Coturnix japonica: one gene and its partners. The protein of the gene in region 3 binds, or shares a complex with, the protein of the main gene of each other region. Links are inferred from orthologs where the notes say so. Each region holds a gene or a part of one and is shown on either strand. Other genes may lie near its edges.

Region 1 (10,730 bases), on a different chromosome or scaffold from region 3:
CTCACCTGTGTTACTATTACTGCTACTGCCAGCACCACGAAAAAAAGATGTTAGTAAATGATAAACTAATTGCTGGTAGCATCTTTTGTACAACCGGATCCCTCCAGATGCACAACAGTATTTTGGGAGCACACCAAATTGGCTGCTGATTGGTCTACTGAGCACTGCTCTCACCACTGGAGGGCTGAACCACACTGTGCCTATAAGCCAATGCCAAACCAGTGCCATGTGGCACTGCAGTCATACAGGCTTAGATCACCACCACCACCACGTTTCCTGGGCAAAGGCACAGCAAAGAGGTCATCCTTCTGTTTACAGTTATCCTGCAGGAGAGCATTTGTCAACAGCTTCAGTATCACCTGCAGCACAAGTATCAAAGTCCAACAGAGATAAGGGCACGATGTTTTATGCCAGGACTAAAGATGCCTCAACCCCCAACGCGGTTCAGTGGTGCTGCTGCAGCGGGCAAAGCCCTGAGATAAGTGGGAGAGGAAAGCACTCTATTTATAGCCAAAATTCAGCACATTTGCACATATTTATTGTTGAGCACATGCTTCTGCACTCCACCAAATGAGGATGAAGTGAGGTATGTGCTTGACAGCAAGCGTGGGCTTGCAAGCTTTGCTGGCTTGAGCTCTGTCCCTTTTCCCCCCATCCCTCCTCAGCCCACAGGAAGGGCTGGGGCTTCACCCTGACCCCAGCAGGAGTCTCCCTGCCCCCCAGCACAGCTCATTTGGGGGCTCATGGGGCTCAGCTCCCTGCATGAGTGGGGGGCTTCCAGCAGAACGAGGAGCCCACAGCCCAACATCTCCACTGCTAACAGCTTCTGTTGTACCTCAGTGCTGCATTTCTGACAAACCCAACCCCACGTGCAATTCACTGTGAAGCAAATCTCCAGCAAATGCAGAAGACGCAGCTTCCTCAGCTCTTTACAAAGTAATTATTCCAACACTTCCCCTGCTGGAGGTGAACCACTTCAGTTATCTAGCCCAAAGTCTCAAATTAAAGGTCTTACTGTCAGTGGTGTCTGAGTTATCACTGCTGATGGAGTACTTCCGTCGTTTTTCTTCCATCTGCAACAAGAATGAACAGCACATTACAGCCCATTCCCAGATCCCCCCCTCTGCACCCTCACCTGCCCGCCCCAGGTGCCACCCCTGGCTCCAAAAATGGACATGTGAAATCCCCACTGTGTTTTCATTTATCAGCACGTGGCTGTTTCTCTCCCAGCTCTCCCCACTCCCAGGCAGTACAGAAACACACAGTGACTGCTCAGAGCAGTGCTCTGCAGCACACACAGCCCCGGGGCCATGTGCAGCTCCACGCCGTGTGGTGCCCCATGAGGCTGCAGGGCTGGAGGCTGTGCCCAGAACTACCGGGCTGCGGTTGTGGGAAGTGCACAGCTACAGGAATGGAAACTCTGTGCACTCTCCGTATGCCTGCAGGGGAAGTCCATGCAGCACTGAGTTCAAGAGGACCCCTGTGTGCAATGAGCCCGGGGTTTTACCCTCTGAGTCATCTTCCCACTCGGACTGCACTGACTTCTTTTAAGAGCTGTGATGTATCCGCAGCCTGAAGCAGGCTTCCCACAGCCCAGACCTCCTCCAGCACTGCTGGGCAGTCCCTGGCTGCTGCCACAGCACTGTCACCTCCTGGAGATGGGCAGTGGGCACCCAGTGCAGGGCAGAGCTGCAGGGGGCTCAGAACAAGGCAGGAGTGTCCAATAGCAGCACTTCCTCCGCTCAGGGACTGAGCAGGCAGAGCTGAAGGGCAAGCACTTGTGTTAGCACCTGTGTTAGCAGGTGCTTGGAAAAAAGGCAAAAAAGAAAGGAAAAAATGAAAACAAAAGCAAAGGTTTTCACTTGAGAAGAGCTTGGTTCCTCAGGGCGCAGCAGGTGGTGATCAGCACAGCCCCACCTCCAGGGCTCGGATGGAGCACTATGCATGGACCACACTGCTGAGAGCCAACAGCACCTGCAAGAAGTGGCACCAACCCCACAGACACCTCCCTGGTGCCTTCTGTAAGCACATTCTGAGGCACAGAGACTCTGTGATCCAGGGAAAGGACACAACTGTCCTGTGAGGGTCAGCAGCAGCACACCATGCACACCGGAGGAGGTTCCACTTGTGCACAGTTCCCCACTGTGCCCTCCCAGCACCTGTACCCAACAATCTGTGCACTGCATTTCACACCAACAGAAGGGACAACAACACAAAGCACCATCAACATTTTAACTACGGGGGCTGTTGTAAGGCACTGCCCTGTCAAAACACCATTAAAAACGTTCCTTGAGAATATGGCAATGCTAATACATTCCTCCAGTGATTCCCAGGGAAGCAGCTGTTATTAAGGCAGCTGTGTTCCAAGCAGCCGTTAGGTTCTGCTTGGGGAAGAGGATACTGAAGGCAGATTTACCTGCAGTTTGCTTTCTTTCAATGGAAATCCTACCTGAATGCGTGGCTCCCACTGGCTGGCTCTTGGAGCATAGAGATGGAGCTGTGCTTACTGATCCACGGAGCCGCCCAACACTGACACCCCATAAACCAACACCAACAGGGAAAAGAACCACCTGAACTGGAGCAAAGGAATGCTACTGGGGCCCAAAGGCATTTCCAGCTCTCCTATCTTTGGCTTTGTAGCAAGACAGCACAACTGGCATCACTGTCCTACCATGGGAAAGGTGCATCTCCAGTGCCCAGCACAGGGGGGGTCAGGGCTGGGGGCTGCTTGTAGCTATGGGGTATTTGTGGGACGAGTTTGTACTCACATACAGAAGTAACTCAACACCACAGGTTAAACTGTGGCTCCATTTCAACAAATTATTTTTGTTTGTCCCCGGTGTGACAGGAACCAAGAGACCGTCCTCTGAACTGAACTGCATTTCAATTGCTCTGAATGAAACCCCTGACAGAGTAAAGTATAGACCTCTCTGAACACAGCAGCACTGAAATGCAGCCCCAGCCCGGGCAGGGAACAGCACAAAGCATCACCAACCGCCTGCAGGAAGGGAAACACGGGCTGAAACACAAAGCTCGGGCAGACCTTTCAGAAAGTAACTTCCAGGACACAGCTTCCTGAAGGACTCATCTTCCAGAGCCCTCCTAACAGCAGTAAACAACGCGGTACTCAACAGAGGAATTTACCGTAGAAAAAGGGTAATTGGGCAATTTCCCCATCTGGAGCTCAGGGCTATAAAGTCTGATGGTGGCTGGGCACCCTGCTGGCATCCCTCCATCCCTGCTGCCCACATCCCCGCACCCCCGGAGCTCTCTCTGCCCATTCCTGCCCCGCACCAGCCTTCAACTCCGGGCTCGGCTCAGCCGGTGTGTTACAGAGCCATTCAAAACCTCCACAAAACGCAGCGCGTTGCTCCAAAATTAATCCTCCGTTTACATTAGGAGCTAATTTCACCTTTAACTGACCCGTTCCCCACATGGCATCATTATTAAAGTCATAAACAAATACCAAAAAAATTTGTAATACTTTGAAAAGGTCGCTCTTAGGTCAAACTTGGCCCAAAATCTGGCTTTGACAGAGCCAGAAACCAGGAGAAAGGTTTCTATGTATGCTCGCTTAAGATTCAAATAGAAACAGATGTGGGTTTCTTTTATAAACAAATGAACATCCCCCTGAAGTGTCTGCAACTCGACTGGACTGAGCCAGTGCCTGGAAACGCGAAAACCGGACTGACTGCGAACTAACACATGCTCAGCATCGCCTTTGTTCCAGCTGAAAAAGGCAAATAAATGCAAAACCGAGGAACGCGATGGGCAGCCATCAGCCTAAACAAATTCAAATCGCCAGGACCCGGGGCGAAACAGCCGCGGGATGGGCAGCAGAGTGGGGGTGGGCGGCGGATGGGGATGCTGCCATATCCCGTGCCGCTGCCTCGAGCATCCCCCTGCCGGAGGAAGCCCCGGTGCGAAGCATCCCCATCGCCACTGTGAGACGAGGGGATGCGGTTTTGCCCTGCCCACGGGAAGAAGCAGAGGAGCGGAGAAGTGGAGGCAGACTCAGAAGCACCTGCCCAAACCCTGAGCTGCCGGTCCCCAGGTCCCGTGTAGCCTAGAAAGGGCTCAGGCCGGCTCCTCGCCCTGTGCCAGCCCCTTCGCTCAGGGGAACCACAGAGGTTTCCCAGCTCCCTGCGAGCTCCTCGCTCTGCGCATCACACGTGCGTTCAGGGGATTCCCGGTGGCACCGCGTGCGGCGGCCCTTTGGGTCACTGGGGGAGCGGTTCTGAAGTGGGACAAGAGAAATCCGCGCAGGTTAACTGCTTCTACAGGGAATATAGCACAGAAATCCGCACAAACGGCAGGAGAAGCCGGGCTCGGCCACCGAATCGCGGCAGCGCTCGGGGATGTGCCGCGCTCCCCGCACCGCGACCTCCGCTCGGTGACAGTTGAGCAACAGCGGCTGAGATATGCGCTGTGTTTGTGAGCTGCAATGAGACTGCAGAAAACCACTTCCCTGTTTGTTCCTCCGGCACAGAAATAGGAACACAAACAGAAAATAGTGCCCCCAGCGGCACGCGCACCCGCCCGGCTTCGGACCGGCGCATCCCGGTGCGCCCCGGCGTGTCCCGGCGTGGGGGGGGGGGGCACGGAGCCACGGGGCGGCCCCCAGCGCTCCCCCCGCATTAACCATTTCCCGGCTCTGTCTTGGAAAGCGGCGCGTTGTTAGAAAGCTGCTCACGGAGGAGTAGGGCTGGGGAGGCGGTGGGAAGCTCCCAGCCCCGCTCCGCTGTCCTGGCGGCGCTGCCTTTTCTCATAACCGACCGGGGAGCTCCGGGCGGCCCCACATCCCCGACGGCACGACGTACTTTCCGACCGGGGATGGCCCCGCAGCGCACCCGCAGCCCAGCAGCACGTGTGGGCTCGCAGCCCCGCGGCTGGGGCGGGGGGAATCAGCGCTGCTCCGTCCCGAACCCTCCGGGGAGAGCAGCACAGCCCCGGGCAGCCCGAAGCCGGCAGCGGGACATGGAGGGGCGCGGGTTATAAGGGCTCCCGGCACAGCCCCGCGCCCAGGTGGAGCCGCCCCTCGCTCCAGCTGCGCCGCTGTCTCGGTTCCCGGGGGCACCATTTAATCTCATTTAAATTTAAAACAAAACAAGCCTTCGTTTACTTCCTGTGCTTTGCCATTTTTTGCCCCAAATCTAGTAGGGGATTTTCTTCTTTTCTAACTTTATTACTCACATTTCTAACTTTCCTTTCCTGACTTGTTATCCCCTCATTACCCGTTCTGCCTGCAGCATGCCCCGACACAGCACCGGCAATCAGCCGGGCCATCCCAAGGCCATCCCCATCCCCATCCCGCACCTCCGGAGCACAGCAAGGGGCTGAGCCGCACCGGAACCCCCGCACCAAACCCCGCACGCAGTGCCCCGCTCCGGCCCTGCGCCCTCCTCTGTACGGGGCCACCTGCCCGACTTTCCGAACTCGGTGCCCAAACCCCATCAGCAACCACATGAATTTCATCTCCCCGCTTAGAAATCTCGCATGTCCCCTTCCCACTGTGCTCCAAGCCTTCATTTTTAGAGATCAGCCTCAATTTTCCTAAGGAAAACAAACGTAACCTTTGATGTAACCTTTCTGCGAGCTATTTTTGCTCCCATCTCGAGCTTATTTTAACCTCGGTAGCCAATAAACGCTTAAAGGTCAAACCCCGTTCCTACGATCTCCTCTCACTCCCGGGGGGAAGCCGGAGCTCGCTGATGTATCCCAAGCAAACCCCTTCTCTCCCGGCCGTCCCAGCGCCCCTAACTCAACACCGCTCACTGCGGTGCAAGGGGGGGGATGAGGGGGGCGGGGAGGGTTTTCCCTCCGGGATGCCTTCAGCCCCTTCCTCACTCCGCAGGCTCCCGGGGTTCACAGGTACGAGAGTTATTCCCACCCCCTTCACAACCCCGATGGCGGCAGGTGGGGAAGGGGCCGGGCGGCCCCGGGGGCGGCGGAGAGATGGGGAGGGCGGGGGGGAGGAGGCGGCCGCCACGCCCCCGATCCCCGCCGGGCACAGCCCCTACGGCCCCCCCCGACCGGAGCTCCCCCCCCCGCCCCCGGTAACGCGCAGAGCCCCCTAGAAACGCGGAGCGCGGTCCGTCCGCACAGCTATTGCCGCAGTCATTAATTTCGGGGAAATACGAGGGGAGAGGAAGGGGGGGGGAGGAAAAAAAAGAGAAAAGAAAAAGCCAAAGCTGCGGGGCGAACCTGGAAAAGTTCGTGTTTACATCCCCGCCGCTCTCGCCTCGCGCACTTTAAAACCGGGGAAGGGACCAACATGCGCAATCCGCCCCCTGGAAATGCCGCACATCCCCCAGCCGGGAGGAGGGAGACGAGGAAATAAATAAATAAATAACGAGAGGAGATAGGAAAATAAATAATTAAAACAAAATAAGCCAAGCGCTGCGAAATGCCCCCCCCCCTCAATCGACCTCCCCCCCCCAGCCCCCCCATCCCTTCCCATCCGCCTCCCCCCGCGCAGCCTCACCTTTGCCGGAGCAGCGTCCGCGGAGAGTTGCGCCTGGCAGCGGGGGGCGGCGGGGAGGGGCGGGGCGGGTGGGATGGGGACGGGATGGGGACGGGGATGCGCAGAGCCCCCTCACGCCGCTGTCATCGCCGCCGTCCCGGCCCTGCTCAGGGGCGGCCGCCCGGGAACTCCATGGCTGCTCCCAGCCGAGATGGCCGCTCGCAGCGCGGCCCGCCGAGCCCTGCCCGCCCGCGGGTGCGCTCTGTTGGGTTTTTTTTCAGCCCGCACTTCCTCAGGATCTCCTCGCCCCGCCGCTCGGGCTCCGGGAGGAGGGAGGCGGAGAAGCCACTTTCGGAGCGGGGCCGGATAATGGTGCTGCCGCTCCCCCCCCCCCCCCCCCCCCCCCCCAACCCCCCACCCTCCCCTCCCTCCCGCCCCAAATCTTTTCCCCCTTAATTTCTTCCTCCCCCTCCGGGGCTCCGCGCGGGTCCAGGTGTCTCCGCTCCCCGTTCAGCCCCCGCCGGGCCGCGGGGGCCCCATGGCTGCGGCCGGAGCCCGGCGCTGCCCGCACCGCCCCGCACCGCCCCGCGTCCCGTTCGCGGCCGCCCCGCACACACCCCCCGCTCACTCTTTACCTTCTCTTCCCCCACCGCCCCCCCCTTTCCCCGCTGCGCTCCCCTCTCCCCGTTACGCACACGGTGCACACGGGGCTGCTGCTGCAACCTTAAAAAAAAAAAAAAAAAAAAAAAAAAAAGGAAAAAAAAAAAAGGCTTATACTTAAAAAAAAAAAAAAAACACCCTTTTGGCGCCATATTAATGACGTACTTAAAATTTGCCATTTCTCCTGCGTCAAAAAGACGGTTCTTGCCCGGCGCGGAGCGGGCGGGGGCGGCAAAGCGGAGCCGCTTCAACCCCCCTCCTCCCCTTCCACCCCCCAACGCGACACTTCCCGACGTGCCGCTGAGTTCCGCGGGTGCGGAGCGGGGCTCTGCCGGGGGGGGAGGGCTGCGGCACGGCCCCCCCCCATGGGGAGCAGCGCTGCGTTGCGCGGTGCCCCCGGAGATGCGGAGCGATGGGTCTGAGCTGCCCCCATAGCGCGGGGGGGTTGTTGGTTGTTTAGAGGTGGAAACGGGGAGCGGGGATGGAGCGCTCCGTGGATGGGAGCGCACGGTGCGGGAGGGGTCCGGCAGTGCTCTCCAGCGGGAGGTGAAAATTCGGCTCCCCATCCACGGGCGCCTTTAGCGGGCAGCTGTACAACCCCGAGCCGCCCGCTGGGACAGCAGTGGGACCACAGCGAGCATCCCTCAGCACGCTGCCCGAATTGCCCAAACTTCCATCAATCCGGCTGCGGTTTTCTCTCTCGGGAGCCTGTGCTGGGCATTTCCTGATCGTTTTAAGCCCAGTAGCTCTTCTGAGGATGAAGACTGAGGAGGAGAAGAGCACTGCCTCGGTCACAGCTGGGATTGCTGCATTTAATGATCATCTTTTAAGGATTGTAGCTCTGGAAATACAGCCCTGAATTGAAGCACGAGGCAGCCTTGGATGGGCTTTTAGATAAAGGAGCCCAGACTGGTGGTGTTGGAGGTCTCTCAAAAAAGCAGTTTACAATGCGTGGTGTGAACACGCTGAATCCTGGCTGCTGGGATCTCCTAGGAGCTGCTCTGGGGGCACCTGCAGCCCCAGGCACCTCGGATTGGGATGAGGATGGAAAGGACAGTGAATGGCGAAAGGGGGAGAATGAGGCCTGGGGGGGCTGGGGAGCAGCAGGCAGCAGATGGGCCTGGAGGTGCTGGGGGTGGCCATGGGGCATGGTGTGGGGAGACTGGAGGAATGAGGGACGTTTCCCATTTCCCCATAGATGGAGCAGCACTCTGCCTATTTCTGGTTTGGAAATAAGATGTTGTCATCTTCTCTGGGGAGCCTGCTTGCTGGGATGCGGCCCCAGAGAAGAATGGGGACCATCAGGCACTGGTTAGGAAAAGCCTTTCCTAGCAGCAGGGAGCAGTGGGACCTCAGCAGGCTCTCAGAACCCCCGGCACCCCACTGCTCCCCTCGGGAAGTGAAGTCACTGTGCCATGCAGCCAGAACACTGGGAATGCCCAAATTGAGGCATTCTGTACAGAGTTTGTTGTTGTTTTATTCTCATAATCCTAATGCAGTTCTGAGTTACTCTGTCACATTCTTCCATACAATGCCTGCACATGCTGGACCTGCTCTGTAGATAAGTCAGGAAGGAGACCCAGAGTCACCAGGTCCCATCTTATCTGCTGAGCCAAAAGCTGCCCCAGCAGTGAGGTGAGAGCTGCAGGGCACAGCTCTGGGACTGTCCCAAAGAACAGGACTCTCCTTGCCCTTGCCACAGGGGCAGTGCTTACAAAGTCATTAAAACAAATGTGGAGGTGCTGAGGGTTGCGTAGCTTGAAACCGAACTGCTGACACCCACTGTAGTGCAGCTGGAAGCAGTGGGTGCTGTGCTTGCATGTCTGAAGTGCTGGAGCACGCTCAGCGCTCTGAGAACGCAGACACTGCTGCTCAGGAGTGCCCTGAATTAGTCAAAACTGACCTTAATCCATCCACGTGTCATCCCAACCCATCTCCATAGCGGGTGCCTGGGGAGGATGAGCAGAGTGCTGCAGCACTGATGCTGTGTAGTGGAAAGCACCATAGGAGAAGAAGTGGGAAAATGAATAATTCTGTTTTCAGGGCAGCCTGCTGGCTTCCTTGTGCAGACCTATGGTCCCATAGCCCCCCTGCTGGCCATTTCTGCAGGGTTTGGGGGCAAAACCACTAAAGGATGTCCCAGTATGTCAAAATGCAGAGCTGCAAAGCAGAGCAGGCTGGTTGAGAACCATGGGTCTGGTGTGTCCCTAGGCATGGCCTCAAATGCAGATCATAGAAGCACGGAAACATTGAGGTTGGAAAAGATCACTAAGATTTCCTTGTCCAACTGCTGACCCCACACCCACTAAGCCACCTCCCTGTCCATAGGATGAGCACCTGGTTTTGCCCTAAAACTTCCCACTGAGATGCTGAAGCTGCATTTTCTGTTGCTGTGAGCACTGTAACATGCTGAGCTAAGGCCTACGACTGTATGCAGAGCAACTGCAATGCACCCAAAGTGCTGAGCCCCTCAATGTCCATCCCACGCACTGCATGACCCAGTGGCACAGAAGAAAACCTGCAGTGAAAGAGTTCTCTGCTGTGATGAATGAGCACCATGGAGCTGCACCGGCACCAAGAATCCTCACACTTCTTATTTCTGAGTATCTGATCACTGACCAGATTTTGGTTACCATATATGTGCATTGGTCCCAAATTTGTATATGAACCTATATCTGTAACACATACATACAGCATACTCAGAGCTTACACCCCGTGAGTGGTTCTGCTACGGGAAGGTCACAAGCATTACTTACATGATGCTCCGTTTCATAGCATGCATGCCATGCACATGGCCGTTACAGAGAGCTCTGCCATGGTGTTCTCAGAGAGAAACCTAATAATAAAAACAACAAAAAAAAAAGCATATGGGGAGAAATATACTGCACAAATCCTCTAAAGGGACCGAATTGTCTACACAACAAAGGCTCAGCTGATGGATGCTAAAATAAGCAGTTATGCAACAAGTAAGAAATACGATCTCCGGGGAAGGAGCCAGCAAACTTTTCCTTTCATCTTCACTCACCGGTGCTTATTTTTGCATACCTAAGAGAAAAATATAGACAGCCTTTTGACAGTGAGCACCTATGTTGAATTATCAGATGTTTAAGTGAAGGAACCCGCAGGGCTCAGTGCTGTACCTACAAGAGTCCCCTGAAGCACCGCGATGCTGCTGCTTCCATCGCCTTGGGGCTGCTGCTGGGATGTGGAGGGAGCAGAGTGTGGCACAACCTGCAGGAAATACATTGATTTCATGGGTGAGCGGGCTCACATACAGCTGTGATTATAGAGCTGCTCGAACTTCTGAAGAAAAGAGTATATTGTGGAATCATGGAATGGCTGGGCACAAAGAGACCCTGCTGATCCCCAGTGTGCTGCTCTGGGCCAGGTGCCCCCAAAGCTCAGGCTGCCCAGCACCACATCCATGGCCTTGAGCACCCCCTGGGATGGGGCATCCCATGGAAGAGTTCATCTCAGAACACTTGTGTTTGGTAAAACTTGTCAAGAGGACGTGAGAACCCTGAAAACTCCTGTGCTGATGGGAGAGGAGTGCCTTGCTGCCATCACACTGGGTTTCTGCAGTATCTGCTATGCCAGCCAGGTCCAA
Region 2 (10,476 bases), on a different chromosome or scaffold from region 3:
TATCATCTCTAGAAAGCAGAGGTGAGGCACAGGCCCCAGCACCCATGTTTCCCACATCAGCCTTGCACAGCAGCCGCCTTCATGCAGAGCTGCCGGGGCAGGGCACAGCGCAACCAAGGGGACCCTGTGCCCACCGTGCAGCTTACAAAGGGCAACTGACCAGCACTCCGGAAAGCCTGTACTCACACCCACCCCAGCAGCTCCCCTAGGAGGGGCAAACAATTGTTACCGTCTCTCTCTTGAGCTTCTCCCGCTTGCGTATCAGCTCCACCAGCAAGCGCGCGCGCTCTAGGTCATGGCGGAGGCGCTGCCATGACTTCAGCTGCTCCTTCAGGGCCCAGTTCTTATCCTCAGTGTCTCTCTGCAGGAACATCAGAGACTGTGAGCTGACAGGAGAAGCGTTCCCATTTCTTCCTTCCTGGCTGTGTGCGAGGGCTCTTCTCTTGTACAGGGAACCAGCACGCCTGACCTGCTGCCTCAGTGAACATCCCAGCTCCCCTGCCATATGGGTGACTCACAGAGACAGCCCAAGTGCTGCCTACAGCTCAGTACCTGCTCCATGGTCACCCAGCTGTTAGGATGCCAGAAAGCGAAATCTGGAAATACTCGGCCTAACATGACTACATGCAGGCAGCTGCCCAGGACCACAAAGCAGCAATAAGTGTCCAGGCGGCTGCCCAGAGCTCTAGTCAATGGCAAACAGGGCAAAATAGGAACACAGCTCTGGTTACCTTCACCTCTGGAGCATCAAAAAACTTGCTGACTTTTATTCTGCTGCTGTAAGCCAAAGATGAGCAAATAAAAATGAGGGAGGGGTAAAAGCAGAAGAAACCTCTAACTGATCACCATCTTCAAAGGGCTTGGAAAGGCTTAAACAGAGAGCCATAGGAAAGATCTTCCTCTGGCACCAGAGATCTCACATCTGTGAAGCAGTGACTGAAGGCTGAGGCAAACAGCAGGCCAAGAGCACCACCCACAGGGATTGTTCCCACAGCTATTTCAGGATCAGTGAGGCCTTGGTTTCTTCCAGACCATGTCTGGGGATCCCTGGCCACCCCTCTCAATGCCCACTGACACAAGTGGCCTCAGGTTAGAGCCCACTTCTGCCAGCGTTGCCACAGCTGCCAGCTGAACGCCGGCAAGAGGAATGAGCTAACTCCTGCACACAACAGGGCAGGCTTCCCTTCCCATGGCAGGCTGCCAAAGGCGGCTCCGTCTGGCAAATCTCTGAATGCTGAGAGTGGAGAAGGTAAAGCAGCAAAAGCAGGCAGCTGGGGCGGTATCGGGAGGTAGAACTCTTTTCTCCAGCCCCTTTCTGAGCCCGAAGGCACCAACACATGCAGCAAACGCTTTGAGCCCACAGCTGCAAAGGCACAGGAAGCACACACAGACACCCAGGTTGCCCCTCAGCACCCCAAAATGCAGCGTGTACCTGATCACAGTTCCTCTGGGACTGCAGGTGTGTCTGAAGGCGGCGCAGCAGAGGGACACCGTTGCGGGACTGCCGCTTCAGCAGCCAGTAGTTGTGGAGCCTCTGCATGAACTGACTCTTCCTCTGGATAGTTAAACGATTGGTAATCTTGCTGAGCCTGAAGAAAGGAGAAGGGTCACAAACCCAGTCAGCAAAGCAAATCTGGCCACAGCAGAAGCCCCAGTGTAGCGAGGCAACCCACAAGCTCCTCAGACTGAGCACACACCTTTGCGTAGTAGAAATCCCTGAAGGGCCAAGGAACGAGGGGCAGCAGCACATGACAGACAGCTACACTAAAAAACATTCAGCCTTGTCTCTCCTAAAGGCCTTTTCCTTTCTCTCCTTTCCTGCTGACTGTTCCAGGTTGGGGTGCAAGGCGGGGGCACTGGCAGCTGGGCCTTTCACAGCTCCCTGCGGCCCCGAGACCACGGCACGGCTGTCCCAAAGCTGTGATTCACCCGGCTTATTATGCTGGCAGCAAGGGGCCACCCAAGACGACAAAGGCCCTATTCAAACATTACCAGACAGCTCAGCAGCCCCGAGGAGTTTGTAGCATGAACAAATCTGGGAAAGCGTGAGGAGGGGTGGGCAGATGCTAGCAGAACAGAGCTTGCTGTTGGAACTAAGGAAGAACTACCCTGAACAGCCCCAAACAAAACAAAAGGGGTTTCCCTCCTCTTTACAATGGCAGAGCCTGAAGCGACTGAGACAGCCTCTTCCATCAGTGCAGTTAAGAGATGCCCTGCTAGGTGAGACTGAAGTGTGGATCCCATATCTCCACATCCTGCAGGACCAGCTCTTCACACAGGGTGACCCGACCTGCATTAGCTGAAGGCAGACAGCGTCCTCATCTGCTGTCATTGGTTGCTCACAGCTTCTACAGGAAGACATTTGGCATCCTGGCAACAGCCCTTGAAGAATAATTAATCCCAACAGGAAGACCTGGGGTGAGGTTAACAGCTTCTACCTCAGTGTGGGTTTCACTGTGAGCCCGAGGGTAGCAGAAAGAGCCTACAAACAGCTTGCTAGTGCATCCACATGTGGGAACAGAGAGGCTCGGGTTATAGAACACACCCCGAGCGAGTGAGCCGTACCATACAGTTAACACACAAACACCATGGCACGAAGCCACCAATCCTGCAGCACAAACTGCCCACAGAGCAAACCCCACAGTGCCTGCATACCCCCTCCTGCCCAACAAGAGCCCTGAAGGAGCCTTGCCAGGAGGCAGTGACCCCATGCCATGGTGGCTGCAACTCAGAGACCTGAGGGCCAGCAAGTGCAGCTCTGGTGTGGTGTCCCAGCTGCAGTGAGGAGAACCTGGTTGGTGACTCATAGCCACCAAGGCAAACACTGCCCTGCCCAGCTCCAGCTGTGCACCACAGGCATGCTGCAAGGCTGGGAAGCAGCAGGGCTGTGTGGGGCCAGCTGCAGCAAAAGGAAGGTGGCCTCTGCTTTCTTCCTGCAGCCTGTTCCAACACACAGGAGAAGAGCTCTGGGAGCCCCCAGCTGCTTCCTGCCACCCCTGGCCAAGCTCGGTTGCTGTCATGAAGCCAGCAGCATCTATTTCCTGTGCAAGCACCTCGTGGGGCTGCACATCTCACTCCTCTCTGCAGGAAAGCCAGAGGAAACCACAAACAGCCCCGGGAAGAGCAACGTGAAAAGCACTTGTGCAAAAAGACAGCTCCTGCATGCAAAGTGGGACATGAGACGCTGAGAAAGGGACAGGTTTCTCCACAGCAAGGGGAAGGCAGCGAGTTGTACCTGTGGGGGGGGATGCAGGGAACAGAAACCACAGGTGCTGCAGCTCGTTTTTCTGCCAGGATCTTCCGCGCCTTCTTCATTTTGATTCTCGACTTGGCCTTTGCCTTTTTCACCTTCTCAGAGCTCCAGCTCTTGCCTTCCTCCTCCTCTTCCTCATCTTCCTCTTCCCCCTCGCTGTGGGAAAGCGCAGGCAGCCTGCGCACGGAGCCTGGAGGTGTGTGGATGTCACAGTAGGCAGTTTTGCGCACGCTGAAGGAGGTCCCGTTTGCTCCCGTCTCACGGACGGGCTCCATTTTCATGAAGAGACCAGCCCGCTGGGCACAGGTGACGTGGAAAGCAGTATAACAGTTTGCCTTGTGACACTGGATGCAAGCCCCAGAGCCACGCTGCTTGCAAATATAGCAGGTCAGCTTCCACCGTGCAGGTGGGATGTGCTCGATGCTGTCTATGGGTTCCAGGAAGACCGTGTTGGCAAAGCACACCTCCGGGATCCAGAGGGCACAGACCACGTGTGCCCAGCGCCCATCGTCCGTCTGCTTGAACGCACCGCCCTTGTTGGGGCACAGGGCACAGTCCACGGCTCGTGAGGGTGACTGCAGGCACCTCCTGCACAGCCACTGTCCCTCGGGGATGTAGGGCACCCCGTAGCATTCCTGGTGCACAGCCAGGTTGCACATATCACAGAAGAGGATAACGTTGCTGTTCTGGCACTCCCCGTCATTGCAGATGCAGCACACGGCATCCTCATCAACCAAGGCGTTGGGGTCCCCCTTGTTGTGGCTCTCGAAGTATGACTCCTTCTCCAGCCTGTCCATCAGGTACTCAAAGATCTCCTGGGGAATGGGACTGACGCCCTCTGTCTTCCGCCGCTCGTTCATGATATCCAGCCAGATGTAATCTTCCTCGTCCATGTCGTACTCCACCTCCTCATCCAGCTCCTCCGCTGACTTCTCAATGTACCTGGAAGGGGAAAGCAAGAGAAGGTGAGAGTTCTGCATATTAGAGCCCAAAAAAACCCACAACAAACAGAAAAGAGGCAGCAGCGCTCAGAAGCTGAAGGTGCTGCACTGCTTGGGGGGCATTTGGCACAGCACGGCTGGATGTTCAGACAAAATAACAAGCTGCAGATGTTGTAGACTCATCAACACAAGACAGGAGCTTGTACAAGCCAGCAAGCGGACACCCAGTACTCTGGAGACAGTGACCTTGTTCCCCAGACACAATAGCACTGGCCCTGCTGCACATGGGGTGCAGACAGTGCCCTGTTTTGGTATATTTCTCCTGTTGCCACCTGGAGGTGAGGCAAGGTGAATCGTGGGGAAAAGCCAGAAGCCCCTGCACCCTGCTCCATCCGTCCTGCTCCATCTGCAACAACCAGCAGCCAGAGTGCAGCACCACACTGAGCACTATGCAGACAGCTCATGGGGAACTCTCTTTTCCAGCAGTGTGACACAAGCCCACGTTATTCCTCTGTGCCTGCAGCTTGGTGCCAGACTCTCAGGCAGCACGGTGGCTAGGAGGGCAGAGACAGCAGTGAGAGCACTGCTACAATGGCCAATATTGGCACCGAAACAAACCACATATGGAAAACCCATAGGGCCACGAGAACACATTACACCTACAAATGCACATGGCTCACAGCTGAACTTTGGTGCTGGGGGGCTCCTGACTTATCCTAGAGCATCTCCAGACAGCAGTGGGGGAGGCAGAAGGACACTCACCTTCTTTCATGGAGTGGCTGGGTCAGGAGGGCCCTTAAAGCCCACCCGGCTCAATCCCTGCTGCGGTGCCCATGGCACCTCCATGGATGGGGCACCCCCAGCTCTGCACAGCTATGCCAGCACTTCGCCTCCCTCTGAGTAGGGAATTTCCCCCTAACACACAACCTAAATGCTTTAAGCCCATTCCCCCTCACCCTAACACTAGGAGACCACAAGCCGCTCCCCCTGTTTGCTACAAGCTCCCCTTCAGCCCTTATACACCACGCTCAGACCGCAGCAAAGCCCCCCCGAGCCCCCCATCCCGCGGGGCGGCACCGGGACCCCCCGGTACCTGTAGTACGAGGTGGGTCTGGGCGGCGCGTCGGGCGTGTCCTGCTCCAGCTCTCGATACACCACCTCGGGCAGCTTGGGGGCCGCTCCAGCCGCCGCGTTGTGATGGTGGTGGTGATGGTTGGAATCCTTCCGCTTCTCCTTGCTCTTCTGCTTGGCCGACTTGGGCGCGGCGGCGGACGCGGCTGCCGCCTGGCTGTCCCCGTTCTCCTTATTGCCGCCGCCGTCCAACGCCTCGTCGGCGGTTTCCTCGTCCTCGGACACCACGTCCAGGTTGTCGAAGATGCTGATGCGGTGCACGCGGCCGTGCAGATCCACCTCCACCATGCGCTGGGCCTGCGCGTAAGTCATCACCTCGCGGCCCGGGGACTGCGACGCCTCGGACGGTTCCGGTGACGGCCGGTCGTTGGCCCGGCCCTGCCGGCCCTTCTTCTTGTGCTTACGGAGCGGCGGCTGCTGCGGCGGCGGCGGGTTGTCGTGGTCATAGTGGTACAGGTGGTACTCGATGCCGCTGTAGCTCTTGTAGATCTTACGGCAGCTGCCCACCGGGCACTCGTAGGGCGGTTTGGTGGCCCGCAGGTTGTGGCAGAACGTCTTCACGTCGAAGTCGACCCCCATCGTGCTCGGTGTGACCGTGTGCGCTGGGCCCGGCCCCGCTGCCGCCTCCCGCCGCTCAGCGGCCCCGCGCCATGGCCCGGCCTCAACAATGGAGGAGCGCGGGGCGCCCCTGGGTAAAGCGCCGGGCGGCCTTAGCAACAGCACTTTCGACACCGCGCCGGCCCAGCGGGCGGGACGGGTTGCGGGAGGGAGGAGAGGGGAGGAACCGAGCGAGGAGAGCGGGGAGAGGAGAACGGAGCGGGGACAGCGGGGAGAGACCCACCGGGGATAGGGGACGAGGTACCGCGCGGAGAGCGGCGAATCTGCCGATGCGAATCTCAATAACCAGTACCCGCCCCTCAGCGGCCGGAGCGCTTTATTGCGGCCGGTGACAGCGGCACCAACGGAACGGACGGAAACAAACGGAACCGAACGGAACCGGACGGAACCGAACGGAACGGAACGGAACCGAACGGAACCGGACGGAACCGGACGGAGCCGAGCGGAACCGAGCGGAACCGAACGGAGCCGAACGGAACCGAACGGAACCGAACGGAGCCGAACGGAACCGAACGGAACCGAACGGAACCGAGCGGAACCGAACGGAACCGGACGGAGCCGTCAGTGCGCGGCGTTCCGGCGGGGCTCGATGCCGCGGCCCCGCATGTAGGACAGCAGCTGGTCGGGGATCTCGGCCAGCACGTCCTTGGCCAGGCGGGCCATGCTCAGCACCTGGCTGCCCCCCCGGTCCATGTAGTCACGGAACGGAACGAACTGCGGGCAGTGGGACAGTGGGGGTAATGGGGGTAATGGGGTAATGGGGGTAATGGGGGTAATGGGGTAATGGGGGTAATGGGGGCTATGGGGGTAATGGGGTCAATGGGGTCAATGGGGTCAATGGGGTCAATGGGGTCAATGGGGTCAATGGGGGCAATGGGATCAATGGGGTCAATGGGGTCAATGGGACAATGGGACAATGGGGGTAATGGGGGCAATGGGGGCAATGGGGGCAATGGGGGCAATGGGGGCAATGGGGGTAATGGGGGCAATGGGGGCAATGGGCAGCAATGGGGGCCCGGCCCCACAAGGCCTGGTGCTGCAGCTCACCTGCACGATGTCCCTCTCCGCATACCGTCCCCGCGATGACACCCGCACCTCATCCCCATCCAGCTCCTCCATGGCTGCAGGCACCGCTCAGACCCGGTATGACAGCACCCCCCGGCCCGGCCCCATCCCCAGCCCACCCCGCTCACCATCGAACTCAGCCGGCCCCACTCCCACGATGATGATGGACATGGGCAGCGCAGAGGCCTGTTGGCAGAGGGCAGCAGCCATAGGTGTGGGGCAGCCCGGCGGCACTGAGGCCATACGTGGTGCCCTGACCCTGGTGGCGTGCGGCCACTCACGGTGACGATGGCCTCCTTGGTCTGCATCATGTCGGAGATGACGCCGTCAGTGATGATGAGCAGGACGTGGTACTGAGAGCCATCGGTCACCTGGGCGGCCGTGCTGCAGGGATACGGCATGGCAGCCCTCCAGCAGCCGCCCCACATCGTCCCCCACAGCACGGCCACGGGATGGGGGCGGCCCCGCAGCGCTCACCCGGCCACCTGGTTGATGACAGGGGCGAAGTTGGTGGGCCCATAGAGCTGCACGGTGCGCAGGCTCTGCAGGTAGGACTCCAGCACTCCCTCGATGCCGGCACAGCTGGGGTTGTCCACGTTGTTGTTCTGGGGACAGGACTGATGCTCCCATGGTGCTGGGTAGGATGCGGCCAGGCCGGCTGCTCCCCAGCCCCACACCCAGCAGCAATAGGTTCCCCCAGCCTCGCAGCAGGGCGCACCAAGGGGAACTGGTGGGAGATCTTGCCATCAGGTGGCAGCTTGGCTCCGAAGCCGTAGGCAGGGAAGAGCTTGTCGCTGTCGTAGTCCTGGATGATCTCCCCGACGGCCTTGAGTGCCAGGGCGTATGCGCTCAGCTGGTAGGGGCTGGCGTAGTGCAGCGAGGTGGGCTGCGATGGCAGCCCTGTGGCACAGCGCACATCAGCACCCACATGGTGCTGCTCCCCGGGACCCCCCCTCTGCTGTGCTCACCGTTGGAGGCCGTGAAGTCGATGGCGACGGTGAAATTCAGCTGTGTCCTTGGAGGGAGAGTGAAGGAGGCTGCCAGCCCCAGGCACAGCGCGACCCCACAGCCCAGCCCCGCTGCCCACCCCACAACTGCAGCCGCTGTCTCAGCACCCCCAGGATGCAGCACCACCATCACTGCCTTCCTGCCCCCATCCCTTGGCAGCCTGGGGGCACCCGGCCCCACTCACCCGCCCCGTATGTAGTCAACGAAGGTGAACTCGGACTCAACGGAGAAGGAGAGCAGAGTCACCTGTGGGCACGGGGTGTCAGAGCCAGCACCTTGCCATGGGTGAGAGCTGCAGGAGCAGCCCAGCCCCACTCACAGTGCCAGAGTTGACATATTTCTTCTTCTTGCACTTCTTCCTAGGGTTCAGCACCTGCGGGCACCAGGCAGGTCCCTCTGTGGGGCTCCCCACGCCCCCAAAGCTGCCCCACTGTGGCCCCTGCCCTACCTCATACACCGTGAACTGGCTCTGTGCACGGGACAGCTCACGGTAGCTGGTGGCAAACTCCCCGATGAAGTCGTGGCTGCAGGAGGAGCGCAGGGGCTGCGTGTGTTATGGGATGAGGAACACCCCGATGTCACTGTGCTGCCCTTTGGGGCACGGCCTCACCTCCCATCCCTGTCCCAGTCGTACACATCAATCTTCACTGTGCTGGAAGTAAAGCGGGGCTGAGGGGGAGCCTCTGGCATGGCCCACAGTGTGCAGGGCTCAGTGTGCCATCAGAGTAACACTGCATGCCCAGGGAGGGGAGCAGGGAATTTGGGTCATGGTGGAGCTCTGGGGAGGGGGGAAGCTTTTATGTAATTTGGATTGTAAAAGGAAAAAGAAAAAAGAGAACACCACTAAGAACCCTGTTTGGAGTTGTGTGCTGGCTGTGGGGAGATGCTGCGTCCTGTCCTACTGCTGCCCCATTGCAAACACCACAGCGGTGTTCCTGGGGTGCAGAACAGGTCTGCAACGTATGGGGCAGCTCTGGAGAAACATCACCAGGACACAATTTGGGGGATACGAGATGTGTGCAGGGCTGTGGGCTGGCCCAGGGGCTGCAGGATGGGGCCAGAGTGTGGGGTGGGTGGAGGCTGCCCCACAGAACCATCCTCACCGGTCATAGTCACCGTTGCAGAGGGCACGCACGGGTATGGTGAAGGGCTGCCACACCGGGTTCAGCGTGTTCTTCACCACCTCCGTCTTGTGGCAGATGGTGAAGCTGCGGGGACGAGGCATGGTGAGGCCATGCCGTGCAGGGACACCCGCACCCCACGTCCCCACGCTCACGTGCCGTCTTCGTTGCTGCGGTAGAAGACCAGGAAAGGGTCGGATTTGCCAAAGAAGTCCTTCTTGTCCAGTTTGTTGGCACAGAACTGCATGGTGACGATGTCCTGCGGATGGGGACTGTCACCAGCAGCCAGCTCCTTGCCCCACATCCCATAGCGTGCAAATGCAGCACTCACCCTGCAGTTGCTCAGCTCCTCGGCCAGCAGCAGGATGGTCCCACACCGCTTCCCTGGGACCCCCCTGCGACAACAGCCCAGCGTGGGGACAGTGGGGACAGCACAGGGGCAGGATGCAGGGCGCTCCACAAGGCCCAGTGCTGCAGGTGCGTCCCCAGCCATGCACAGGGACGTGGGGCAGCATGGCCAGCGGGGTATCTTGAAGCAGGGTGGGCGGCCAGGGGCACAGTGTGGGACCCCCAGCCCTGCCACAGGATGTGACTCACGTGAGGGCTCTCTCCAGACGGCCCCGCTGGGACCCGATCACTTCTCCCAGTGCCACAAACGCCTGCCCCAGGAAGTCCTGCACCCAGGAATGCCATGCTCAAACCCTGGGGGCTCCTGTTTGCAGCCCCCTCACCCTCTCATCATCTCCAGCCTGTAGCCTTCTTTCCCCATAGAACCCCAGGTGACCTGAGCTCACCCTGTGCCCTATAAGAGCACAGCTCCATAGCCCACAACCCCTCCTGTACACCCAAGGCCACCCCACATCCCTGAGCTCATCATGCAGCCCTACAACCATCCCATGTACCCACTCCATGTCCTGACCCCAGCCCACAGCCTTGTATCCCCCAAAATATGTCCCAGACACATTCCTCCAGAGCCACCTCACGTGTCCTGGAGCCCTCCTGCCCCCCTGGGCCACTGTGCACCCACAGCAAGCACCAGTTCCCCATCATAGCAGACACCTACCTTCTGCCAGACCCAACGTGGCGTGGAGAGACAAAGAGCAGGTTGAGCCCGAGGCTGGGGGTGCCAGTCCTACCCAGGAGCCCCCACACAGGGCAGGGCTTTGGGGTGTCCAGAGCACTCACCTGCTTGTAGATGGAGCAGCTCTTGGAGTCCACGTTGTAGCTGGAGGTAGCAGAGCAGAGCTGTGAGCTGGAATCTGGGCACGTCCCCTTGTCTCCACCCAGTGCTTTGGGACCCCATTTCTGACCCCTCTGCCCATCCACGCAGCAATGCTTT
Region 3 (10,500 bases):
GCAGCAGCAGCACTCACTGCTGTGGGATAAGGCAGCAAACACTGAGCTGCCTTCATTCCCTAACGAGAAAACAAGGGGGAACTTTGCTCCTATGCATTCATCTTCACTTGCAGGGGTTGCATGGGGGAGATGGTCTCTGCTACTGCCACAAGGAGCTGCAACACAGGACCCCAAAAAAGCAGAAGTGCAGCAGGGCAGAATCCAGGCTCTGCTGCAACACAAAGTAGATGGGAGGCTGTAAGGCAAGTGCTGTAAGGCAAGTGCTACAGCTTTTACATGGCATTCTCCCCCTCTGAGCTGTCAAAGCAAACAAAAGCATTACAGGTGACTGGTAATACAGCGCCTTGAGAAAGGCACAGCTCATTTCAACACCGGGATCTTGACTCGGTGGCTGCAGAAAAGCACCAAACATTCATCCCTCCGTGTACTTTCCCATTGGCAATCCAAATTGCTCATCCCTTATCTGCAGGCACGGCGCCAGCAGCAGCACAAGGACTGCCTGCCATCCGAGCCCTACCTTGAAGCAGGATTAGTTGAACGTGGCTGGAGATTAATGCCTGGCAATCCCTTCTAGCACTCTGTGTTATGTCTACGGCAGGAAAGCAAGCACAAAGGATCCCTCCAAAGGGTAACGGGATGCAAACAACTGCTGTGTGAAACTGGAAGCACTGAATATGGGAAGAGACAAATGTAACTTTTATTATGTACAAATGAGGGGAGTTTGTATTAAAAAGAGAATCTACCCAATGTCAGAGATAGCAAAGAACAGGAGGGCTCTGAGCTCCTGCCTCCTCCGCATCTAAAAGCACTGTGCCAACAGCAGGGGATGGCATTTAAAAGTAATGGCAGAGAAAGTGGGTGACCACCTTGTTCTCTGCCTACCTAAGAATCAAACTGAGCTGATCCACAAAATGAAGAACCTTCTTCTCTTACAAGCATTAAAACAAACCAAAAGCCCATTTATTAACGATGCACTCTGGGTTAAAAACAAAACAAAGGAACAAACAAAACCACAAAGCTACGTCTCAGTAACAAAAGGAACCTAAGCATTACAGCATGGATGGGACATGGTGAATCACAGCCCTACTCCTGCAGGAAGGGAAATGCCTCCCCATGCTTTTATAGCAATAAAATCAGCTGATTGAAGGGAGCTCCTGACTGAGCTGGAAGAGCAGAACAGCCAGGAATGGAGGACTACTACAACTACACCTTCATCTCCTGTAACACAGGTTATCTAAATATGATGCAAAGACACGTCCCAAGTCTTTCTCCCCCCACAGTTCTTTTAGAGTGGACTGCTCCCTTCTGCACACACGTGGCCACAGAGCTGCCATTGAGCTCGTTGGGATGACTGCAGTTATTCTTGGTGGGGATTCATGTAGGCTTGGATCCCGGAATCTTCAGCACTGATGTTTCTAGTAGTCCTGTAGAGACAGGAGAAGATGGGCACATTAAGACCTTCCTACCTCCACCTCTGCTGGCAGAGCTGGGATTCCTCGCCTTCTCTCATTCTACACACCATCAGGTGAAGGCAAAAGAGGTTTGTTTTCAGCCCAAACCAGGTGCTGTTATCGGTGCAATTCACAACAGAACAAAGATGCAAAACAGCTTTTTTGCTCATAAAAAGCACACGCGGCTTCAATGCAACCCTGCTCCGTAACGAGCCCACCTGGGCTCATTTACTATTACATCTGGAAGACGATGCTTAAGCTTCATCCCTACGCATTCCCCAAGCACAAAAACAACCTCATATCATGGCAGAGGAGGCTTTTTTTTTCCAGGATGAGCAACAAAAACGGTGACAGAGCACTGATACTTACAGCTCTCGGCTTTTTGTTTAACTTGAGATCAATCCTGTGGTTGGAAAGATAAGAGAAACGTCCATTTCAATACGTTACACAAACAGTAGGTCTCAAAAGAACCAGCTACTGCATATGGCACAGGCTACAACAAAGGCTACTTTGGTTAATTCAATCCACATTCTCAATTGGGCTGAGCCAAATCGCTGTCCCAATATTACTGGACAAGAGAGCAGCAAAGAGAGGGAGAGTGGATTCTTTATTCTTTGCCACAATGCAGATTCAGTCCCATTCAGAATAAGAGTTAATAAAGATCACGGGGAAGTTACGTAGCATAAAGAAACACGGTTACGTACGCATGCTCTACATTAACTGGTTAGATGTGTGACTATGCCACAGGTCATTATTCAGACATAGCATTAAGGGTTATTGGAACAGAGAGAGGAGTTTAAGGTGGTGGGGATTACAGGAGACAGAGGTAGGGAGTTGGTTATGTTACATCCAGAAGGAAATAACCAAATCTACATTGATCTCCTTCAGAAGCAAAGCCAGAAGAATCAGTTTTTAAGCTACGTATTAAAGAGCTCATCTATTTCAAACCCGGAGCAGAGAGGTAAAGGAGTGTGAAGTTAATTCAATTTGGTTTTTGCCGAAGTTATTAAATAAAAGGTTACCTCCATCACGCTTTGCTGTTTTTAAAATAACCTTCCCAGCCTAACCTAATATACATACCTACAATTAAACAGATAAACTATGGGTTAGAAAGGTCTCAAAAGGCACATCGGTGTCTACACACTAACAACACAGCACAAGTACTAATTCAAGTCAAACTTACTCAAAGTCATAATCAAACATGCCAGACGGGCTGAGGGGCAGCATTTGAAAGGAAGAAAGCAATAGAAATTAATACACTAAGGAATTAAATCAATTAGTCCATTAGCCACCCTAAGCGAGAACGCTAAAAACAAAGTCAATGAAGAAATAAAAGCCGGTGTTCAAACGCCATGAAGTTCTGCAAAGTGTCTTTAACCAGAATGGGGCATAAGAAAAAGCACTGCAGGGTGGATATTGTCCCATTCCCAGGTGGATCTCAAGGATGGGGAGGTGTTAGGAGCGGTGTTATGCAGGGAATGCTGTGTGCTGAGCTCAGAGGGAGATCAGGAAACGGATTTGCTCGCAAAACCTCAACGGGTGGTCAGAAAGCAGTGGCTTTGTCTGGATTATTAAGCAAAGCAAAGCTTGTTCAGGCAGAGGTGGACACAACCATGAAGCCACGTGGCCACGTACGCACTCAATGTTCCCAATACTCACACAACACACAGCCTTCCACCCACATCCCTTTGGGAGCTCGGAATGGTGCCATGGCTGAGTCCAATTGTGGCTCATTGCATTCCCACCCCACATCTCAGCTCTCACACTGGTGGCACTTTACCCCAACCCTCACTGCTCTATTTGGTGCTTCTCAGCACCGGATCCCTATGAGGAAGGACTGTTTTCCCCTAAAACACTTTTTAGCCCTGAGAATAATTGCTGAACGCATAGAAAATCACCATCTGGGCCTTCTATGGTCTGAGGGAAGAGAGGATGGCTTCAATAAAGCACTGCCATGTGATCCCCTGTTTGAATAGTCAGAAATTAACCCAGCTGTTCACACCAGCTCTGCTCAATTTGAATCCACCTCTCCTCGCTGCCACTGGTGGAAGTCAATGCACCTTCAGAGCATCCATTCCCAGCAGCTCCCAGTCCTTCAGGTGAGCAGAATTCAAACATAGGCTGGAAATGAAAGAGCTTCTGAATGAGCTGTGCCATTAACAAAGCTGGGACTGGCTTTTGTTTGGTTTAAACCTGGATATACTTGAAGATCACTCAGGCTCTTCTGCTGTAATTTAGGGGGCAGTCGTTAGCAGCGATCACAACTTCTAACAGTTTGCATTACAAACACATTTAATCACTTTCCACTACCTGGCCATGCTAAGCATTACTGCAAAATCCTTTGGGTTCTTTAGATGCATCTCTTAGGATGATAAGAATTGTCATACCAGATCAGACCAGGGCTCCTCATGTCCAATATTGTGTCTCCAATAGTAGCTGCTTCACAGGAAGGAATGCAGAAGAAACCCCAAAGCAACACAAGCTTTCAGTAGGGCAGTTTCTTCCTAACACCCGTCACTACAGTTTGGGTGATGTAACGGAGCAAAAGAGTTTATATTATTTATGGCATTTGCAGCAGACCCCACTGTACCTGCAGCAGATTGCTTTGTGGTCCATGTAAGTGCCCAGCAGTGCTTTGGATTCTGTTTGAAACAGCAGCATTCTTATGCTGTACTTCAGTCGTACAGATTGTTTCTCTGAAGTGGTTTAGAGACGTGCTCTGTTACTCCTGGCCTTCCTCCCAACTGCCTGAGGGCTAAAAACCACTTCTGAACTGTTGCTGGTTCCTTGCTCAGGAGGAACCCAAAAGGACATCCAATACTTTGGGATGTGTGCCTGAATAAGGCTGCTGTGGGGAGAAAACCCTGACCTTCCAATTAAAAATGCTAATGGCTGAAAATCTAACTAATAAGTCGTAATTAATTGGCTTTCAGGCACTACACCTACCTTGGTGTCTCCCAGACAGACCTTTTCCCAGCAGTCCCTGTGGGATCTATCACTGTATTATAAACCATTTGTATAGGAAGGCTCCTCAAAGAGGAATATCCATCCATACCCAAAGCCAATGAGCTCAATAAGAACCTGACATCCAGGGAAAGCAGCACTGGAATTCAATGAATCCCAATGTGAGCTGTCAGCCCACTGTGCTGCATCTTGCCTTGAAGGTGCGCCTTAAAGGGTTGAAGTGGTCACCTAAATTCAATCACAAAGAGCTCAGGAAATCTGTTTCATGTGAATTTCAGGCCAGTTTAATAACAAGAGCTTGTGGTCTGTGTGATAGAGCAACTTGTACGTGCTATAATCAAAGGACTCTGGGACACGATAACAGGAAAGCTTTGGAGTAGAAAATGTAGTAAAGATAGTGAGTGTCGGCAGCCCCCAGAACACTCTAAGCTGTTTTCCATCCTCCTCCTCCAAAGAAAGCACTGACATTCCTATCTCCCTTAGCTCAGTAGAAACCAAAGAACAACCACAGGAAGCCGGGGCTGTCATCTTCCTCTACTGCAGGGAAGACAGCTTTATTCTGCTTGAAAAGAGAAAAGAACCCACAAAGCCTGGTCAGAAACACCTGAGCTGTGAGTACCCTGTGCTGAATATGCCTGCTGAGCTGCCTCCCTCCCTGACACAAGGAGAGCAGCAGGAGCACAGGCAGCTTCAAAGCAAGTGATAGAACCAAACGACCTGACGAGTTACTAGCTCCCTTCACATCATCAGCAAGAGCCAACCGTTCCCATTGCACTACTAGAAGGCTGTCGGTGCCACTAACCTGTGCCTGTTTTTATTCTTCCTTTTTTTGTGGCTGCTGTGATGGCTTCCAGAAGTGGAAGAAGCTGCTTTTTGGGGTTTCACCCCTTGCACTGATCCATCCAACTCCTCAGCATCCTCCTGGCTGGGTTCGTTCTCCTGATTATGGAAGTCTGGAGATGTGTCGCTTTCAGTCCCACTGCCCGGCTCACCTGGAATGGGACGAGAAGCAGAAGAGCCCAATGATTATCACCTCACTGTTCACATCCCAGGGCTGCTCCTGCAAAGTATGGGGGGGAAAAAAGGGCTACAAGAACTACAGACACCCAAATTTCTGGTGCCAAGGACTGGAAATGCAGCCCTGCTGTCAGACCCAAAGCCATGGTGACAGCAGAAGGAAAGGTCTTAAAGCTGGATGCCCACAACAGGCTGCAGCCTCCAGTAGTGAAGCTCTTATCTCCTCCCATAGCCACGTGCAGCTGATGGAGAGACACAAGACATCTAAAGGCATCACTTCAATCCTGGTTTCTCCATCCAAAGTGGACAGCAGAGAGCCCAACAAAGCAGAGATGGGGCCGAGCTGTGGGGAGAAGCTCAATTCTTCCTAATTCTGCCAAGTGAAGAGGTGACTTACGCTTCTCAATGAGCTGATCCTGGACTCCAGCTAACGCACTGACAGCCTGGAAGGATGAAATGGGTGTTAATGACAACAGGGATGCACTCATGGCTTAACAGATACCCACAGCAGCTTGGTCCCATGGGGTTGGGGGCTGGGGGCAGCTCTTACCGCAGCAGAAGTGACTGAGGATTTGCTGAAGAGCCTCTCGGCCTCTTTAAACTTGCGGTTCCTGCGGTCGTTTTTGCTGTTGGAGTTCCTGCAAAGGAGAAAAGAGGATGGAGGCGGCCCATGGAAGGGGGGGGGGGGGTTGGATGGATGGGGAGGGGGGTTTGGGGGTCCCATGGAAGGAAGGGGGGCGGGTTGGGATGGATGGGAGAGAGGCGGGGCTGAGGGTCCATGGAAAGGGGGGGGCTGGGATGGATGGGAAGGCGGGGTTTGGGGTCATGGAAGGGGGGGTTCTGGGGGTCATGGAAGGGGAGGGGTTGGGATGATGGGGAGGGGGTTTTGGAGGGTCCATGGGAAGGGGAGGGGTTGGGAGAATGGGAAGGGGGTTTGGGGGTATGGAAGCCGGGGAGGGTTGGATGGATGGAGAGGGGGATTTGGGGGTCCATGGGAAGGGGGGGGTTGGAATGTATGGGAGGGGGGTTTGGGGGTCATGGAAAGGGGGGGTGGGGGGTTGGGATGGATGGGAGGGCGGGTTTGGGGTCCACACTCACTTCTGGTTGGTGAGATAACGGTCCCAGCCGCGGATGATGTTGCCGTACATCTGCGTGTCCTCCAGGTAACTCCCTTCGAAAGCATAAATCTGCCTTTCCAGGTTGGCCAGCGTCTCCTACCGGGCACACACAGCGCGATGCATAGAAGCGGGCCTGGCCTTACCTTAAGGCCACAACCACAACCACAAGCCTCACCGCCTTCCCACTTTATCCCCCCCGTCCCCATCGCTCCCTGCTCACCGCCAGCTCCTGTTTGCGTTTCACCAGCTCGGCCAGCTCCCTTCGGGTGTCCGGGATTTGCGGGGGTCCGCCGGACTTAGCGTGCAGGGCGGCCATGGCGGCTGCGGCCTGCGGGGAGCGGGCGGGGCTGCGGGGAATGGCCGCTAGGGGGCAGCACTGAACAGCGCTCCGCCCCCCTGCTCCGCCCCGCAGCCGCTATAGGGTCGGGCTTAATAGGGACATGGGAGGGGGGTGATGGGGAGCCCTAAAAGCATCCAGGATTTGGGTCTGTGCAATAAACAACAAGGCAAACCTCGAATATAAGGTTGAACCCTTCTGCTCACTCAGCAGCTCAAAAGCAGGGCTCAGTGCTTCCCTGTGCAGTGCATGGGGGGGAAATAGGGATATAGGAAAGAAACATTACAATTAAATAGAATTACAAATTCTTTATTTAAAAACCTTGAGATTGTGTATATATATAAAGGTGATCCTTCAAGCCAAGATCTATCCTGCTTTCTATATGAAAACCTATATCAACACCCCGTATTTACACCATCAATGCTCCAGTGTGTGTATACAGGTTGTGTGTGTGGCCATAGAACAAACAGGCAACAGTGTGTTAAGCATCAACATGGAAACCATAGGGAACAGACAGCCACAAAGAGGTGAGATGTGTTTGTTTCCAGTCATTGGGGTTTTTAATTTCCTCTTCCTAAAGCTTTTCCTGTGGGGGAGAATGTTAGAAAGCAACGAGAGCTTCAGTTCTTTTTATATATATATATATATATATAAAGAAAAACTTAAATAGTGCAAACCGGGTAATAAAAACATGCCACCACGTAACGAGTACAATTACAAACAAAAAACATTAAGTTACTCATGGAGCTGATAGAAACAAAGGGCTGAGGTTTAGGAGATACATGACAGTCAGCCATAGTTTGGGTGCTGCAATGTATAGCGTGCATTGATGTGGACCTCAGCCCTCCCAAACCACATCGTTGCAACCTAAAAGCCTCAGGTTGTGTTTCCTTTTCTTCTCACTTACCTTGGAATCGACAGGCAGCTCATTGTGGTCAAATGCCCATTGCTCACAGTGCAGAGCAACCACCCAGGACACATAAAACCTTTGCAATATCCCTCTTTTAGTAGCAAACCTGGTCATTCTCCCTTCTAGAACTCTAGAATTTGGCAAACTCTACAAAACAAGACATTACAAACAATGCATGGGGTTACATTTGAAACTAACACCTCAGTTCAGTAGCGTTTTCAAAGGCTTATGACAAAAAACAGTGGATAAAAATATTCTTAAATACACTTTGCTGTGTTCTACATCGTTTCTTTATCCAGCAGAAAACCATCTTTGAACATGTTTCCAGCATCAGATCATTCACATCCAGCTGCTCTTTTGCTTGTCAGGGGGGTGAAATAAGTCAGATTTCCCACTATACAGACCTACCAAAGCCAAATATTCAGTGGAGTCCCCCACAATAAACCATAAGAACCAGTCAGCAACAGAAGGACTTTAAGGCAATAAGAAGCACCAGTGCTTTGATGCTCCAACATCTCCATCCCAATGCATGTTTTATTGTAAAAGATTCCTCTCCCCTGCTCCCCCATCCCCAATTGCCTTCATGTCTGTTAACTATCGGACTCTTCCTCCTTCTCCTCTTCCTCATCATCGTCCTTTGCGTTGGCCTCTGATTTATCAGATGATTCATGGAGAAGGACGTACTCCCTGCTGCTGAAGCCAAACTTCAATACATCCTTTTCTTTCAGTTCGTAGTAACGTTGAGGCTCAATCCTCTGGTTGTTTAGAAAAGTACCATTGCCAGAACCAAGATCAATGATATACGGCTTTACCCTGCGGCCAACTGTGCCATCAGCGCGTGTGTGCTCCACAAGCCTAGAAAACAAAAACAACCCATCAAGTCAATGATAACACATGGATTTTTCAACACATCAGCCCCACTGTTGTAAATACTTAACCATACTTCAAAGATCTGAGCAAGTACAATGAGAATAATTAGACAGGGCACGGAAATACTCAAGATTCTGACAGACTGCTTCACCCCTTAAAGTTATGATCATATAACATAGTAAATCCTGAAGCAGAACAGATGGTTGTTCCTTAAGAGAGCAGCTCTGCCTCCTGAAGCACACAACCCTGCTGTTTATAAAGGAGATCGGCAGCCTTTGTTGGGAAGGAACAAATGAAAAACCCTCCTTTAAACGTTCTTTATTGCCAATCCCACCTGCTAATAACTCCAATTCAGATATACAGGCAGTTCTGTATTTCATCCTGTTGTGTTGTGTTTCTTACTAAAAGTCTAGATATGGTTAAACCAAAAGGAATTATATATATGTTAAGAGTCACGAGGCTGCTTATGGTTAAACAAAAAGGAATTACATATATGTTACATCCATACCTAAATTCCACCTATCTAAAACCATTGAGCAAACATGCATTTTCTAATCTGTGCACATCCAATACGTTCTTTGATTCCCTTTGCACGCAAGCGACCAAATAATCCCCACCTACCAGAGGGATACAGAGCGATACTGACCGGTATTGGAACACAGCGTGTTGCTTTGAGCAGGAGGGATGATCAATGGGGATATCTGCTATCCTGCGGTGCCTGCCCAGGAGATAAGCACTCTGCCTATGAATGTACATGACAGGCAGGAACTCATCGTTTTTAAATGGATAGAGACGCCATCGTTTCTTTGGAATCCGAGCTTCTGGGGGCTCACTGTATTTAATCACAACGCCTCGGAAAGTGTTGGTATCCTCCAGAAGGGCACCAGACAGTTCAAAGCTTGGTTTTTCTTTGTTTACAGCTTTATCTTTTGGTTTGTTATCAGATTGTTTGTGTTCTGGATTCTGCTCAGCACCGCTCCCCTCGTTGTTCTGTCGATGCTCTCGTCTTCTTTCGTTATAGAACTCCCTCTCTGCTTGTTGCTCACGGATGTTCTGAACATCTCTTTCTCTCTCATGGCCTCGACCTCCAGGTCTTTCCTCCTTTTTCCTCCTGTCTGAGTGATCTCTGTGCCTGTCTCTGTCACCGCTTCTATCTCGTCTGTGTTCTTGCTCTGACGTGTGTCTCTGCTTTCTCTCTTCATTTCCTCTGTGAGGATGATCGTCTCGTTCCTGAGGAAGAAGACAGAAAACACATGAAAAACACAGACTGTAACATGGTACGTGTATATCTAGATTTATTTATTTCCTTCCAAAGTGAATTCCCACAACTTGGGCCCAACAATGCAAGGCTGACAGAGAGCAATGCATCATAACATCAGCCTTCAGGGTCAGCCTGCAGGCTGGGCTCACTTAAAGGCACAAATACTCATTTTCTTACAGGAATAACAGGGGCTGGGCTCACTAAAAGGTACAAACACTCAGTTCTTTCCAGGAAAACACGAAGCAGAGAGCAAGGAGATGTTACACTGTAAGACTCTCTCTTCCTTAAGAGTTATTCTAGAGGGATCAGGGGGCTGGAGCACCTCCCCTATGAGGACAGGCTGAGGGAGTTGGGTTTGTTCAGCCTAGAGAAGAGAAGGTTGCGGGGTGACCTCATTGCAGCCTTTCAATACCTGAAGGGAACTTACTCCCAGGAGGGGAGTAAACTCTTGGAAAGGGCTGACAATAGCAGGACACGGGGAAATGGTTTTAAGTTAAAAGAGGGAAGATTTGGGTTGGATGTTAGGGGGAAGTTCTTCACTAGGAGAGTGGTTAGGCCCTGAAACAGGCTGC

Evidence for each region.
Region 1: MEAF6 (region 3) and JADE2 share a complex: the UniProt entries of both Homo sapiens proteins name them as parts of the HBO1 complex. The link is inferred for Coturnix japonica from reciprocal best matches to the Homo sapiens genes MEAF6 and JADE2.
Region 2: MEAF6 (region 3) and BRPF1 share a complex: the UniProt entries of both Homo sapiens proteins name them as parts of the MOZ/MORF complex. The link is inferred for Coturnix japonica from reciprocal best matches to the Homo sapiens genes MEAF6 and BRPF1.

What each region holds. Positions count from the first base shown.
Region 1 is NC_029528.1:2,341,747-2,352,476, reverse strand, and holds the start of JADE2 (E3 ubiquitin-protein ligase Jade-2), read right to left. Parts: upstream 6,374-10,730; 5' UTR 6,277-6,373; coding exon 6,205-6,276; intron 4,551-6,204; exon of another isoform or gene 2,450-4,550; intron 1,074-2,449; coding exon 1,016-1,073; intron 1-1,015. UniProt on the Homo sapiens protein: Scaffold subunit of some HBO1 complexes, which have a histone H4 acetyltransferase activity. Acts as an E3 ubiquitin-protein ligase mediating the ubiquitination and subsequent proteasomal degradation of target protein histone demethylase KDM1A.
Region 2 is NC_029527.1:8,981,206-8,991,681, reverse strand, and holds the start of BRPF1 (peregrin), read right to left. Parts: upstream 6,374-10,476; 5' UTR 6,167-6,373; exon of another isoform or gene 6,014-6,166; 5' UTR 5,905-6,013; coding exon 5,288-5,904; intron 4,196-5,287; coding exon 3,236-4,195; intron 1,590-3,235; coding exon 1,433-1,589; intron 362-1,432; coding exon 230-361; intron 1-229. Other genes in the region: CPNE9 (copine-9), read right to left, coding at 6,987-7,392, 7,486-7,613, 7,727-7,908, 7,977-8,023, 8,201-8,262, 8,336-8,540, 8,627-8,668, 9,120-9,224 and 5 more. UniProt on the Homo sapiens protein: Scaffold subunit of various histone acetyltransferase (HAT) complexes, such as the MOZ/MORF and HBO1 complexes, which have a histone H3 acetyltransferase activity.
Region 3 is NC_029538.1:3,340,426-3,350,925, reverse strand, and holds MEAF6 (chromatin modification-related protein MEAF6), read right to left. Parts: upstream 6,917-10,500; 5' UTR 6,867-6,916; coding exon 6,771-6,866; intron 6,647-6,770; coding exon 6,531-6,646; intron 6,071-6,530; coding exon 5,983-6,070; intron 5,876-5,982; coding exon 5,830-5,875; intron 5,408-5,829; coding exon 5,218-5,407; intron 4,975-5,217; coding exon of another isoform or gene 4,950-4,974; exon of another isoform or gene 4,232-4,949; intron 2,665-4,231; coding exon 2,635-2,664; intron 2,532-2,634; exon of another isoform or gene 2,474-2,531; intron 1,855-2,473; coding exon 1,821-1,854; intron 1,425-1,820; coding exon 1,416-1,424; coding exon of another isoform or gene 1,358-1,415; 3' UTR 930-1,357; downstream 1-929. Other genes in the region: SNIP1 (smad nuclear-interacting protein 1), read right to left, coding at 8,388-8,652, 9,314-9,897.